Daphnia pulex: one gene and its partner. The protein of the gene in region 1 interacts with the protein of each later gene in a pairwise test. Links are inferred from orthologs where the notes say so. Each region holds a gene or a part of one and is shown in the gene's direction. Other genes may lie near its edges.

Region 1 (3,378 bases):
CCGTCGTACACGCAACAACCGACTCAGGGCCAGCGAGAGATGCGACGGGCGTCGGATCCAGTCCGGCCGATGGCTGCTCAAACGGCGGTTCCTCTTCCGCCACTCAACTCCGCACTGCAGAGACACCACAGCGTCAACAACGTACAACAGCAGCCGATGATGCTCCGTACAGCTACCGCCACAGGGACTAACAATCCGGCCGCCCGCGGTGTCAACGGGTATCCTCCCAACCACCCCAACAGCGGAATCGTCTTGGAAGAAGTCGGTGAGGGTCACATGGTCGAAGAGAAGCTTGTCGTTCCTGACGAAATGCTCCAGTATCTCAATCAGGTAAGAATTGAACGACTAATTAATCGATTAAAATTGTTCTCTAACGGATTTGAATTTTGTTTTTAAAAAGGTGAGCGTCAATCAAGATGGAAGAATGGCCTCTCCACGATCCTACTTTATGGGTCGAAGCCCTCGACCGGATTCGGCTCCGCACAACCAGTTCAGGGCGATGCAACAACAACACCAACAGCAACAGTTCCACCAATTTCAGCAGCAACAACAGCAGCAACAACAGCAGCAACAACAACAACAACAGCAAATGACTAATCAGTACAATCCAGCGACAATGATGGGCAGTCACAATTATCCAGGTCACCATCAGCCCAACAATACCATGGTTGGCTACAACAACGGAGCCGTCATGCACATTAGTCCGACGCCTTCCGCTCGCAATCAACTGGGAATGCAAGCCAGTCCGGCATTGGCGGCCACAGCTCCTCAGCACTTCAATGGGCCGGCCGTTTGCCATCAAGCTCAAGTTGGCCAGCCTCAAGGCCAACAGCAACAAGCTCCTGCGATGTACGGCACCTGCCCAGCTCAACAACAATCACCTGTCGTCGCCAGCGGTGTGGTGGCAGCCCAGCAAGGGCAACAACAACCAAATATGGTCGGATGTAACGTCATGCAGCCGTCAAACTACTCGCAGGCTGGAGCCAACTACGGGCCAGCCCACGCGGCCGGCGTCAATGCCATGCCTTACAACAACTACAACAACCAACAACCTGCCATGGCGATGAATAATGGCTACATGATGAATCAACAATGCGGTCATATGCAAGCCGCCCAACAACAAGCCAATCCGGTTGCCCAGGGATTCAACAATCCTTGCTCTCCGTGCACCGGCCATCATCACCAACAGCCCCAGCCCGTCTGCAACAACAATCCGGGAAACAACCAAAATTGGCAATGCGGATATCCCACCCCCAACAACATGACGCAACAACAACAGCAACACCATCAGGCGATGCCGTTCCCCCAGCAGCAACAACACAATAATGTTGCGTGGCAGAACAACGCCATGCAAGGTCCAGGAAACGGAGCGTCCAACGTCCAGGTTCCGCCGACCAATGCTCAGTCTTTGATGTACAACAACATGCAGAGCAACGCTGCGATGGCCTACAACAACTATCCTCGTCCGCCACCTTACAGCCAAGTGGCATCCGCCATTCAATGCCAAGATGTGAGCCAGTCTCAAGATTTCATCAACCGAGCTCGCGTTCAAGGAGCTGCCCAGCAGCAGGGGCCATCAGCTACCCCGGTCCAGCAGCAGCACAGCCAGCAGATTAACAACGCGGCCACAGCCGTTCCGTCTGTGGCTACCGGTGTCACAACGCCGAGTAATATGCGTCCTGAGACGTACCAGCGCACATTGGAATATGTCCAGCAGTGCCAATCTTGGTCATCGACAGGAGACGGCAACAATGGCGGACGAGCGGCTAAGGAGAACAAACCACCCCAGCAGCAACAACAACAACAACCTGGGGCTTGCGAGCCTCAAATGACCAAGACGGCCGAGACGGCCGCTGTCGGACGGGCCTTGCTTTCCCCTGGCCAGGACGCCGTTTCCAGCTCAACGGATCGACAGGAAGCGGCGGCGGCGGCGGCTGCTGCAGCTCTGTTGCCTTCCTCGGCCAACAACATGGTTGTTAACGACATGAACACTTCACTCAATTCGCTGATGCAGGAGAACCGTTTCTTGCAAATGATTCAGTAGTATAGCAACTGTTGCGTACTCTGCTTCTTCTTCTTTCTCGTTGAGTGAGTTCTAGTGCAATAAGCTGGGCAAACCGCACGCCAATCAGAGCCGACAAATTCGTCTCTTTTGGCTGGGCTCCGATGGAACAAGACTGCGTGTGAAGATCTCGCCTCAATTACTCTTTGTTTTTGTTTTTTTAATTATTATTTCTTATTTGTTCAGTGCTGCCTACGTGTCTTAATAATAATTTGAATATTCTTGTACATTAAATTGTGTTCCGTGGAGACTCAATGACGTGCGCCGAGTGCCAAAAGGGGAAGAAAAAACAATTTTGGCCGTTATTTCGTATATACTGTGTGTGTGTGTGGTTTGTGTCTCTGCCTTACTTTTGCAGCTGTTACTTCCCCCTTTTTTGGGTTTGGGAGGTGTTTTTGTGGGAGGGGAGATGTGTATATGTGTGCCTTTGCGTGTCCTTGTTTCTCGTGCCTGTTCGAATAATATTTGTTGTGATACTGCCTTTTTCGAATTAGTTTGTTTGCTCCATCAATCATATCTCCGGTGCCTTGACAGCTTAATGATTTTGCTGCAGTGCCATATCGGAGCGCCTTGGTACCATGACAGTTGTATAATGATGTGAACATCATCATATATATATATTCTCTTGAACAGCAAGATTTTTTGCATGTGGACTGGCCCAAATGGCAGCCTATGAATTGTGCTTTGTGGTACTTGAAAACTGTACTTACATGTTCAATAAAATAAACTGTATGTCTGTTGAAATGTTACAGTCTCTCTATTTTTCACAATCATATACACTAACATACATTCTAAATCATCCCCTATATGGCGTGTTGTTGTGCATAAAGGTGTCCTTTGTTATATGGAGTCCTGCCACACATAAAGAATAATAAAAGGCAATTAGATAAAGAATGAAGATCACAATCTCAAGGTATAAATTACTGAAAGTGTTTTCTTCGGTGGGGGTGACCTGCACAACACTTGTCCGTAGAATTTCCTCTGCTTGGTTTCCAAGCTTGATTAACTGCCAAAAAAATAACAGGGTATCACTTGGAATGTCGGCACGAAACGAGAATGATCAACTTACTTCTGCTATTGCTTCTTGACTTGATATTCTCTGATATTTTCGGAATTCAGAATTGATTTTCAGGCGAGCGGCTATAATGTAAATAATTAAAATTCATCAATTAACCTGATATATGACTACATTTCTTATTATTTGTCATATTTCGAAAGAAATTCCTACCATCCATGGCGACTTGATCATTGGTAAACACTTTGGTACGAGTTCGATGTAGACACCGAAAACATTTTAGAACCTATACGAGGCACAA
Region 2 (3,759 bases), on another chromosome or scaffold:
TGGCCGGAAACGTCTAAGAACGACATTATTTGCCAAGTTAAATCAACAATAAATCATTGAATAAAGCAAACAAATAAAATGTGTTCAATCAAATTATTGGTAAGTACAAATTTGTTGAATGCTTACTTGAAAAATTAACGGCTCCGAATTAAGTAATAATAATGTCATTAGGTTATACAGACATGTTAGTCTGTAAAGCCCAAAATTATTCTTAACGAATTCATTTTCGATGTAATTCAGTTTACGTTGAGATGGGCACATGAGCATGTCACTTCCTCTAAAACGACCAATAGAAGGCTGCAAATCATTACTACTAATATCTTGGGAGGAAGGATCAAAAACTCGTAAACGGTGAACAAGAGTGCTGCCATTCCCTTCGAAATCCTTAACACAATCAAGCCACACATTTTGCTGGGTGTAGGGGCGTACAGCTGCTGACACACTGACTTGTTGAATAGGATTATTTAGAAGTCCTACAGATTGTTGTAGAATGTGGTGATCAAGCTGTTCAAGCTGAGGATCATGTCCAAGCTTTTTCAGAACAACCTGCACAATCAATAAAAACACCAATATCACTTTCCCTTCATTTACCCTCAAGTTTTGCCACTGACAAAAATGGTGTCTTCTTTTGCAAAACATTCGAAAATAAAAAAATCCACAAATTTTTGAATAATTTAAAAGTGAAAAAGCCTTTTATAACTTACATGTTTATCCTTGAAGGTAGCAAAATAAACATTCTTTGTATTAAGCAATTGAGCTGCTTTAAATCTAGACCAAGTTTCTGGCACAATATCACCCATCAAGAAAGCGGGACATAACATAACTCCATAGCAAGCAGGACATTTTTTTAATTCAAGAAACTTTTCATCTGCTACATTCAAATATATTGGAATGGCTGATCTAAGAAGAGCAGTTGAGAAAACACCCAGAGTAACTACCCACACTAATAACGGTTTCATTCTCGAGCGAGATTTTATGTTTGGATATTTCAATATGCCCTCTTCACTATCTAATAGTTGTTGTTTTCCAACAATTTCGAAACTAAACTTTTCTTTAAATAACTGGGATTTTAAACGCATATTCAACGTTGAGCTAAAATTCTCAGAATCTAAATCACTTCGTCTTCTTCTCATGTCCATGTCCATGTCTTGTTTTGATATTGTTGATAAATTTCTAAAACCTATTGCCAGTTTGGGAAAATATTTACACCTTGTTGCCGCTAACTGAGTGTGATCTCAAAAAATGTTTAACTTATTCGTTAAAATTAAGGAGTATTTTTATCTTTAAATTTAAATTTAAATTCATTAATTTTCACTCCATAAAATGTTTGATTATCTGATTTTAAAGAAATGTCAACTTACTATTAGTATGCAATTTTGGCCGACAGATAGCACTTGTGTTTCACCCATGATGATGGCGATGGATTTTGTGTGTTGAAAGTTTTGTCTTGGGTTTTATTATACATCATAACTTGTTATAAAATCTTTTGGAAGTGGGTGTGGAACTATTTTCAAGTTTTGTGTACTGAATCAAGTCATGGCGTCACACGATAATAATGCGAAAGGACGTTTGCAGACTTACAAGAATCAGGGCAAAGACGTGGAGGTAAGGCCGATGACACAATTAAGTTTCTTTTAGGTCTTGTGTTTGTATCGTCGAATATGGCTCTGTTATCGAGGTTCAACTTATGTGTAATTAAATGATGCTTTTATATTTACAGGAGATGAGAAGAAGAAGGAATGAAGTTACAGTAGAACTGAGGAAAAACAAGAGGGAGGAAACTCTTCTCAAGAAACGAAATGTGCCTAACACTGACTCTACAGGTACACTTTAGCATTGTTTGTTAGAATATTTATATTGATGTAGAGACAAAATCTTTTTTGTTATGGGAAAGCTGATGTTGACTTTTCACTCGTTTACTTTTGTAGTGTTTACACGACTCATCTGTTTTTTCGAGTTTAATGTTCTTTGCTTGTTTTTAATAAAATTGCTAGATGAATTTAGACAATTTACACTTACAATTAGATCTAAAAAATTAACATCATTGAAATTAAATACATGGGAAATGAGTGTTGTAACTGAACAATTTAACTATTTTACATCATGACTAATTCATTCATTCAAAATTACATAATCATGTATCTCAATGCCAATAGATGAGGATGAAGCAGAAAGAGGCCTTTCGTTAGCGGGCTTAGAACAGATTGTTGCTAATGCATCAAGTCCTGATCCTGATATCCAATTAGCAGCCGTGCAAGCTGCTCGAAAGCTCCTGTCTTCGGATCGTAATCCACCCATTGATGCGCTCATTCAAAGCGGAGTTCTACCAGTATTTGTTAAATGCTTAGAACGCCAAGACAAGTATGACATCGCAAAACGAACATATTCTCGAAAGAAAGACCTCTAAAGTATAACTGTAATATTTTATTATTTTAGTGCCGCTCTCCAGTTTGAAGCAGCTTGGGCTTTAACCAATATTGCTTCTGGAACATCTGCCCAAACTCAAGTATGTGACATAAAAATCCAGTACGTCAGTTAGAAACTTAAAATAAAAATTACACTTATTTTTAATGAATAGGCGGTTGTGGAGGCGAACGCAGTTCCCCTGTTTCTGATGCTTCTCCACTCACCTCATCCAAATGTGTGCGAACAGGCCGTTTGGGCACTGGGAAACATAATAGGCGACGGCCCACATTTGCGAGACTATGTTATAAGTCTGGGTGTCGTACCAATCTTACTGGGTTTCGTGACAGACACAATACCCATTAGCTTCCTTCGTAATGTGGCATGGGTTATCGTGAACCTCTGTCGCAATAAAGATCCCCCTCCTCATGTTGACACTATTCGTGAACTGCTGCCGGCTCTTAATACCCTGATCCATCATACCGACACCAATGTAAGATCAAATAATCAGTGGAATTCCGTAACTGGCAAATTCAAATCTTTAATTTCTACACGCAGATTTTGGTCGACACAGTTTGGGCACTTAGTTACTTGACCGACGGAGGGAACGAGCAAATTCAGATGGTTATCGATAATGGTGTGGTGCCAAGCTTGGTGCCTCTTCTTTCTCATAAAGATGTCAAGGTAATTGCTACTTTACGCCTAGTCTGGCATTCGATTTTATTTTCTTCAATGGTATAATTGTAATTTTAAAATTCTAGGTTCAAACAGCTGCATTGAGAGCTGTGGGCAACATAGTCACAGGTACCGATGCACAAACTCAATGCGTCCTGAATTGCGACGCGCTGGCTCATTTTCAGACTCTATTGAATCACCATAAAGAGAAAATTAACAAGGTAACCAATATTATTATTATTATTTTGTACTTTATTTTTCCAATACTTTTACCATTTTGTGATTTTTCTCTACTAGGAAGCTTTGTGGTTCCTTTCGAACGTAACAGCAGGAAATCAACAACAAGTTCAAGCTGTTATTGATGCTGGGCTAGTTCCACTGATAGTCCAACATTTGTCAAGGGTAAACTTATTTCACTCAAGTTATTATTTTTGTTATTGATGATCATTTGTTCTGTTTTTTTAATGGCGTGTTTTCAGGGAGAATTTCAAACACAAAAGGAAGCTGCATGGGCTGTAACTAATCTGACGATCAGTGGACGAAAACAGCAAGTGGCTTATCTAGTTCAGTGTGGTGTTATTTCTCCTTTCTGTCATCTCTTATCATGTAAAGATCCCCAGGTAAAACTTGATTTTTAAATTTTATATGTATCAATACTAACCGGTATTTTAATGCATTTCA

What was found.
Region 2: the proteins of zinc finger protein GLI2-like (region 1) and importin subunit alpha-3-like interact in a two-hybrid assay, tested with the Drosophila melanogaster proteins (2 studies listed by BioGRID). The link is inferred for Daphnia pulex from reciprocal best matches to the Drosophila melanogaster genes ci and Kap-alpha3.

The regions. Positions count from the first base shown.
Region 1 is NC_060017.1:6,877,464-6,880,841, forward strand, and holds the end of zinc finger protein GLI2-like, read left to right. Parts: coding exon 1-330; intron 331-400; coding exon 401-2,044; 3' UTR 2,045-2,806; downstream 2,807-3,378. Other genes in the region: complex III assembly factor LYRM7-like, read right to left, coding at 2,859-2,914, 2,987-3,068, 3,132-3,202, 3,291-3,363. UniProt on the Drosophila melanogaster protein: Has a dual function as a transcriptional activator and a repressor of the hedgehog (Hh) pathway. The full-length ci form (ciFL), acts as an activator (ciA) while ciR, its C-terminally truncated form, acts as a repressor. Involved in segment polarity.
Region 2 is NC_060026.1:3,869,500-3,873,258, forward strand, and holds the start of importin subunit alpha-3-like, read left to right. Parts: upstream 1-1,370; 5' UTR 1,371-1,536; coding exon 1,537-1,605; intron 1,606-1,720; coding exon 1,721-1,823; intron 1,824-2,156; coding exon 2,157-2,361; intron 2,362-2,436; coding exon 2,437-2,506; intron 2,507-2,578; coding exon 2,579-2,896; intron 2,897-2,961; coding exon 2,962-3,087; intron 3,088-3,164; coding exon 3,165-3,299; intron 3,300-3,375; coding exon 3,376-3,480; intron 3,481-3,557; coding exon 3,558-3,698; intron 3,699-3,759. Other genes in the region: divergent protein kinase domain 2A-like, read right to left, coding at 1-13, 127-546, 705-1,145.